Linked DNA regions of Nothobranchius furzeri. Each later gene encodes a partner of the first gene's protein in a complex. Links are inferred from orthologs where the notes say so. Each region holds a gene or a part of one and is shown on either strand. Other genes may lie near its edges. The genes, in order: robo3 and protein kinase C-binding protein NELL1.

Region 1 (4,437 bases):
TTACTGCTTTGTAAAATAGAGATGCAACAAAGAGGTGTGGCTGTTTATTTGATGTTAAAATGGTGCATGGTGTTCTTATGATCAACAAAAATAAACATACAATAAACACACAATCAACATTTTATCAGAAGAGTCTATCTTTTAGTGTTTCTGTATTTTCTGCATTAAACAGCTGGAGGTTTGTGGTGAACAATAGTTACTGAGTTAAGGTTTTACCACTGTAGGTAAAATAGGTGTAACACCCTGTGTAAAGGCACCAGAATGCAGGAAATGAAATCTACACCATTTTTATTTTTTGTGCCCCCCCCCCCCCACCCCCCACCCCCGCATCAGTCGTGTCCCCCCCCCCCCCCCACACACACACACACACATTCTCATGCTTCCGACGCCCCTTGTAAAGCGCTTAAGAGTCCTCTGACTCTGACCAGCGCTAGGGCGGGTTGTTCATCGTTTATCATACCCTGTCCTCCGCCAGCCAGCTCCACTGGGGGAATCCTATGGCATTCCCGGGCCAGCCCACAAACACAACCCTTCCATCACATCCTCTGAATTTGGGTGGGGACTAAAACCAGCAGTTACTGAAGGTTGTAGAGGAAGCAGAGACCCACATGGCAGCACCTTTAACACTCCTCCAGTTCCCATCACAGAAACAGATCCAGCAGAATACTTTATGTATACGAACAAATACACACATCCTAATACCTCCGGTGCAGCTCATTAATAATCACTATATTTGCTGTAGCCACAACAACAAAGTGTTGTCCAGCTGCTACAGAAAGCTGTCCTTTATCAGGCTAGTTCCAGAAGAATGTTTATTTTTGTCCTTCTGGACCCAGAGGCCCTTGCAGAGCTCTAAAATCACTTTTACTTTAAGTTATTGAGCGAAGTTTCACTTTTAACTCGAATAACGGCTCAGTGACCGAGACAACCTGGAACCCTCCAGAGCCTGATGGAGGTGGAATAGATGGAAGTTCAAACAACGCAGCAGCAGTCCAGCCCTCAAGCATGTGTGTGTGTGTGTGTGTGTGTGTGTGTGTGTGTGTGTGTGTGTGTGTGTGTGTGTGTGTGTGTGTGTTTAAGAAAGACAGGAAGCTTATTCCATCCCTACCACCCTGATTCACAGCCTCCTGGGATGATTATTAATCTAATAATTAAACATTTATTGCCAACAACACCTGCTCTCTGTCTCCCTTCTGGACCGCCACCCACCCATCTGCCCCCTGGGACCCCATCATATAGAGGGAGAAAGAGGAGGGGAGTGAGAGGGAGGAGCTGGAGGGAGGGTCAGGGTGCGGAACAACCCCGGTCACATCGGTGGATTCTTCTACAGAGGCAGGAGGCTGGATGTTCTGAGTGCTGACAGAGTGTGAAGTTATTTCGTTTCAGGACAAAAGAAACAAGGAGGAGACAATCTGATGCTCAGAGGCATCACAGCACCCCCCGCCTCCACTCCACCCGGCTCAGGGCTGCAGTCATTTAGGGTAACTTTTCCTCTTACTGGGAGCCGGGGAACCAGGCTGCCTCACAGCAGGGGGGCTGCGGGTCCCTCCAGGAGCCAGGATGCTGCACTACCTCATCAAGACCCTGCTGCAGATGAACCTGTTTACTGATACCAGCCGGAGCCCGACCAGCAGCACCGATCTGCTCTTCAACGGATCTCTACCCTCATTTAACAGCTCTCTGCAGGAATGGGGAAACTTCTCCACCTTCAACGGTGAGTCTTTATGCTTTTCTATGTCCCATGCTGTTCTGGAGCGCCCGGTCTCTGTGAAGTACTTTGTGTTCCACTGGTCTCAGGTCAGATGTTTACAGAAATGTGAGTCAGTAATGGTCCAGCATCTTCTCCATATGTAGACCTCAGTGTTTCAGTGATGTCTCAGACTTCCAAGCTGGGTCCTCAAAAACTAGTCCTGACCTGATCTGAGTTCTGTAGAAGGTTAGGTTCAGGAAGAGAGGTGAAGATGTTGTGGATGTGATGAGAGGCTCTACAGCAGCCTGCTGTCAGATCAGTCAGACCCTTAGTCGGTCTGGTCATCAGGTAGACATCACGTCTGTCTTCAAGGTTGTAGAGGAGCTGCTTTGTTAGGGTGTCAGTAAATACCAGAAACACACACGCGCGCACACACACACACACACACACACACACACACACACACACACACACACACACACACACACACACACACACACACACACACACACACACACACACACACACACACACACACACACACACACACACACACACACACACACACACACACACACACACACACACACACACACACACACACACTCAACTCAACTTTATTTGAGCTATAAATAAAGGTTTGATTGATTGATTTGTAAATAGCGCCTTACAGGCAAAAAGATGCCACTAAGGCACTACACTGATCAAGTAAAAAACATAGCACACACACGCACACACACACACAGGCTCTCACACGCACACACACACACACACACACACACACACACACACACACACACACACACACACACACACACACACACACACACACACACACACACACACACACACACACACACAGCAAAAGGAGGGTTGAGCTGTCAATCACCCTGCATTCACTACAGTAGTGATCGCTGCAAATGTTTTAAGGCAAGCGTATCATCTGCCCATAAATCAAACCAGTCCAGGTCAGCAGGTCCTCACGACATGTTTGGTTCCGTCATTTCAGTCCAACCTCTTTTCAACGTTCAGCTTGACTTCATACAACTTTTGTCATGGAAACGGATCCAGATCTGGTGGTCTCTGAATTAGAATGTATGCCACAGATTTTCCCTCAGGGACAAATTTAGTTTGATAAGGATTAGGGTTCGGGTTAGGTTAGGTTGGGGGGGTGTTAGATTAGGGTTAATTTGATAAGATAAACGTAAACGTAGCAGGATTAGCCAAACAGCTACGGTTTACCTGCTGACTATGGACATACACTAAACGTTGCTCTAAAACAAAATACAGGTGAAAAGGGAAAAATGGGAATCTGGTGCAAAGGTTCATTTATGTCACTAATGAGGTTAAACTAATACATGAGACGGACTCATGCTAATCAAAGTCACGTGTTTAAGCCTGTACTTGTTAGAACTGTGATGATTGTGGTTGTTACAAACCCTAGGTGTTAAGCGTTGTGGCAAGGGGTAACATAAAAACTGATGCGGAGAAAGGAGGGGTGAGAGTAAATAAAAGGGTTTATTTCGCAGAATTCAACCCAAAATACACAGTCCCAGACTGGAAAGGTTCACAATGAATGTACGTAAACAAAACACACGAAGGAGAAACTGGAGATAACTCAAAACACCTGGGACAAACGGTCCCGGGGAGAAAAACACGACAATAACTATAGATCTAGACACGAAAAACAAAGAGCCGGAACTAACTAAAAACCAAATCTCGACGGCTATCAATATTATTACAAACACAACTTAAAGCGAGCTATAAAGCTAAAACGAAAACAAACGGCCTCACGGGGGCAGAATCAAACCGATCTTTCAAACGAATCAAGGATACTATCTGAAGTCACACCAAGTCAATCCGAATTACCAAACCGAGTTAATCGAGGAGAGAAAGACAGAGGTTTAATCTGTGGGTCTCTCGCTGAGAAACCGAAACAGGAATCTTTTAAGAGCGTCTCATCAGCGGTAGACTGTCCGCAGCTGAAGCAGAGTAGGCGGGCCAAGGCGGAGGCCAGCCTGATGGAGGACCTGTCCAAGGTCCTGAACAGCAGAGAGGGAACAGGACTGGGCCATACAAGGTGCGGGAGCCCAGGATCCGTAACAGCCCCCTCCTTCAACAAAAAAAAAAGGAGAAAACAGTAAGACTTGAACCAAAGACTGATGTCTAACTCTTTTTTTTTCTTTTACCATTATCAACAGTATCTTTAATACCATGAGGGCTCCCGCTAGCTACCTATCCAGACATTTGCTAACTAACCCCTACTTCTTCATGTGGACTAGAGGTGGGCTGATTAAACAGAAAATATCAGGTGGTGCTGATCCCCAGTACCACCGACTGTTCCCGAGATGTCTGGAGAACCAGGCAACGCTAACCTCTATCGCCACAACACTATAGAAAACAACAAACAGACTCGCCCTAAAGAGGAGGAGTCTCTACCACCTACCAGGGAGACCCTCACGGAATTTCAAGATTCAGACAGCCACGAGAGAAACCATCTGCCAAGACATTATTGGCACCACTCTTGTGACGAATTTCGATGGGGAACTCCTGTAAAAGCAGGGCCCATCGCATTAGTCTCTGGTTGTGGTTAAACATTCGTTTTAGAAAAACCAAGGGGTTGTGGTCGGTGTAGACGATGGTGGAAGAGGAAGAGGAGCCAACATAGACGTGGAAATGCTGAAGTGACAGAATGAGGGCTAAGGTCTCCTTTTCGATTGTGGAGTAGTTCATTTGATTTTTATTGA
Region 2 (3,825 bases), on another chromosome or scaffold:
TGGGCATCTTACTGTAAGAAAAGTAATGTAAAAAATGAATTCTAAATAAATTATGTTCACATACAGAATCAAACCCAGATCTTCTGCATGAGAGTCCAACGTTTAACTAGGTGAGCTACAGCACCAGTAATGTATTTTGTGTCTGTAACATTTATATTCTTGATGACACCTGAAAAAACGTTCAAAGAACGGTTCGGAGTGAAAATGGCTATTTTGTTGCTAATTTACAGGAAATATCTAGAAGAAAGTAGCTAAGGATCCTCAGAAATGTAGCTAGGTTCGTCACTAGGTGTTAGGAACAGCGACAAAGTCGCTGAGTTTGCACTAGCTCACTCTCTGCTGCTAAAGCTACTGACAGCAAACGCTATGGGCTATGCCTGAGCGTGAACGTGCATGAAGCAGCCTGCTCGACCCGAGCATCTCTCTTTTTCTGTGATTTTACAGAAAAACAGACAATCACAGTAAAAATGCCAGGGCTCATTCCACAGGACCAGGGCATTGCAGGATAATGTATGAAGAAGAAATGTATTATTTCTATACATGTTTTGGCTGTCAAACTTCCATAATGCCCCTTTAAAGACAGAGGGACATATCAATTATGTATCATAAGGTAACAAAAACCAATTATCACACTATAATTTGGATCTCTAACTTTTTTTTCTAATAATTGTCTCATTACTACTCCATAAAGTCATCAGATACACATTAAAACATTAGGATGCATATGGAAATAACAGCTTGAGCACAGCTAGATCTTCAGTTAATAAAATTTAAAAGATGATTCAAATCATGCCGCAACAGCCTGCTGGCCATTTAAAACCAAAGTTACACCAGAAAAATACTTCATGTGTTGTAGGTTGTATCCTCAGCTGTTGTGAGTTGGGCGTGAGACTGACGATAAGTCAAATACCAACAGTGACATCCAACAAATCCAGTTACAATATGGGTTTGAGCTGGCTTTAGGGTCCACATTGCTAACACTGTTGTAGCTAAGGCAGCCACGGATTTATGAATTACATTGTTGATCTAACAATCGCAGCCGCCCAGCTACTGCTCGTATGGTAAGGGACAGATGTGGTTTGGAAAAGAGCTCTGGGTAAACCTCAAATGCAGTTCAAACAGATGCAGACATGCTGCGGGGCTCATGGCTACCAGAACACTTGGTGGATTTAGATTGCTGTGGCTACGATCCAAAGACAACTGAAACCAAGCACAGAGCAAATCCTCCAATCCACAATGAGATGTTTCCAAGATTTTTAATCAAATAAAGCCATTGACTTGATCTGCGCTAATCTGGGCCTCCAGCACCAAAACACTTGAGCTTTTGCTCAGCCAACAATACACCCACAGGACAATCACTGATCATTGACCTTTTCAAAACAGAATCAGTGAAAATCTACATAATTCAGTTTCAAAACACAGATTTTATGTTTAAGATAAAGTCACACGCTGGTGAAACTTCATCTCTGCGTTTGACCCATCCCCATGAGGGAGCGGTGAGCGGCAGCTGTGGCTGCACTCAGAAACCATTTGGTGGTTTAACTCTTAAAGCTGTGTGTCAAACGGTGAGACATCGGGTTCCATTTAAAAAAAAATGTAACAACCCGACTAGATTTGTTTCCGATCTCCCAGTCCCAGCACAGACACTCATACCACTAGGCCACTGATAAAGGTGGGCAGAACCAGAACACCCCCCCCCCCCCCCCTCTCAAAGAAAGTCCAACATCTCAAAGCAAAGTTTATCTGGATTAATACAAGATATTTTAACTTTTGATAAAGTTTCTGTCCTAAAACACACTGGATACAATGCAAATTGTGTTTCATGCTGCAGAAAGTCAACCAAAGCCAGTTCACACAACACAAAAAGCATGCTAATAATAGAAATCCCAGCTCATTGGTATTGTTCGACTGAGTGATAAATGGAAAACCAATGGCTAACATGTCCTTGAGAAAACACTGGTTGTAGTAACGGGTAGATTAGACAATGAAAACCTCCTTAAGCAAAAACTCCTTTTCAACAGAACATACATAGCCCATAAACAGCAGTTATGTTTTCATTAAACAAGCCATTCAATACATGTTTTTGCTCAAAACATACAACTTCAGGATCACACATGTGCAACCGTCATTCTCTTCACCATCAGTCATTATTGTGTCATATTCACAAATCTCCCTCTGGGTCTCATGACCCCCATAAAATACCTCTTTAAAGCAAACAATAAACCCATCCACCCACTTCTACCCATGCAGCTTCTTTGCATCCTGAGTGATTATATATTGTCAGCCACACGAGCCCCCACGAAACCTGAGCAGAGTAAAATAAAGTTGTACCTTCACAGTAAGTGGAGTCCCCGTGGATGGAGGCATAGCCACTCTTGCATTCACACTCTGCTTTAGTATTCCTGTTTTTACACTCTGAGTTTTCTCCACAAATGAGTCCCTCTGCGCAGAAGTCGTAACCTGAAAGAGAGAAACAGGGGAATCCATCAAATTTGCTTGCTGAAAAGACACACGCATCACTGTGAAACAGAAACAACCATGATTTTGCTGTTGACTGTGAGTGGCAGGGAGGGGTAGGAATCTGGTCTGATCTTTAGGCTTATCCCAAACTTAGTGCATTTATTCAAATATAGCAGTCACAGGAAGAAAAAACATACAAAAACGCAAAGGAACACAACTCTTTAGGATGCTATTGTTTTGTTCATGACAGTTCATTTCCCGATCCTGCTGTGTTGAATTCAAAAGATGATTGTAGATTTCACTAAATTCAGAAATCAAAACAATGATGTCAACAAAAATAAACATTTACTTAAAGACGACAAAGTGTGCTGAAGAAGCAGGTAATTTAAACTTTAAGTATAAATTAGAAGTAGTTGAGACAGAAAAAATATTTAAATAATAGTGGCGGCAGGCAAACACCAAGCTCTATCAATGAACACCAACATCTCCAAAAGAATAAATCCCGCAGACCATGGCGCTCTCATCTCATGACACTAGGACTGTTGGCAACATCTTGTGACTGATAGTTGCCAGAGTTTCCAACATTTTTCAAAAAATGTTGTCAGTGTCCTCTTTTGGGTTTTAGGGCCAATGACAGCGATGTCATGATGCTAGATTTTTGAGCAAAATATTTGAGGGATTAACTACAAAACTGCAATAGAAAGGAGGACATGTTGAAGAAAGACAACATAATTAAACTATTACTGCTAGATTGTAAGAAGAACATTTGCACCACATTCTCACTGCTATTACATCTTACCAGTCATGTTTCCACTGTCGGAACTTCAGGGTAACTGTAAATGCAGCTCTCTCAGGACTTTACGCAGACACCAGCAGGTTGTGACTGCTTCAGCAGTGAGTCATGTCACTGATCTGTACCAAAAAGCATCCGCAGTAACATTGATAGGATTTAAAGGTAAAAGTACAGCCTAATTAAATCCATTTGGAGCATGAAAGCAGCTGTGTTATGTACAATGCGGTGTTCAATAACCAGAAGATGCTTATTTTTTGTAGTTTTTTTTTACTGCACTCCATGAGACAACAAAGCCCTGTGATTTAAGCCATTGTGGGAGAATTCTACTATGTTTTTTGGTGTTGGGTGTATAGTAATGGCAATGTTACTTCTTTCTGCTGTGTTTTTGGGTGTCAGGTGTTTAGTAACGGTGATATTGTGGAATTCTGCCATGTTTTTTGGTGTTGGGTATTTAGTAACAGTGATGTGGGGAATTCTGCCATGTTTGTTGGTGACGGATGTTTAGTAACGACGATGTGGTGGAAATCCTCCATGTTTTTTGGTGTCGGGTGTTTGTGTTTTTTGGTGTTGTG

Evidence for each region.
Region 2: the proteins of robo3 (region 1) and protein kinase C-binding protein NELL1 are in contact, whole or in part, in a crystal structure (PDB 6POL), measured with the Homo sapiens proteins. The link is inferred for Nothobranchius furzeri from reciprocal best matches to the Homo sapiens genes ROBO3 and NELL1. Residues at the interface, in NP_071765.2 of Homo sapiens: Ser553, Pro555, Val590, Glu592, Phe594, Pro596, Asn600, Thr601, Trp602, Thr604, Ile624, Leu626, Arg630, Gly633, Ala634, Trp635, Gly636, Leu637, Ser638, Glu639, Pro646, Val647, Arg648; in NP_006148.2 of Homo sapiens: Ala440, Lys441, Met442, His443, Tyr444, His446, Tyr458, Arg468, Val469, Asp470, Asp471, Phe472, Ser473, Asp478, Ile492, Cys493, Thr494, Asn495, Thr503, Cys504, Lys505, Pro506.

The regions. Positions count from the first base shown.
Region 1 is NC_091750.1:40,675,977-40,680,413, forward strand, and holds the start of robo3 (roundabout homolog 3), read left to right. Parts: upstream 1-1,332; 5' UTR 1,333-1,560; coding exon 1,561-1,714; intron 1,715-4,437. UniProt on the Homo sapiens protein: Receptor involved in axon guidance during development. Acts as a multifunctional regulator of pathfinding that simultaneously mediates NELL2 repulsion, inhibits SLIT repulsion, and facilitates Netrin-1/NTN1 attraction.
Region 2 is NC_091749.1:50,757,095-50,760,919, forward strand, and holds part of protein kinase C-binding protein NELL1, read right to left. Parts: intron 2,461-3,825; coding exon 2,332-2,460; intron 1-2,331. UniProt on the Homo sapiens protein: Plays a role in the control of cell growth and differentiation. Promotes osteoblast cell differentiation and terminal mineralization.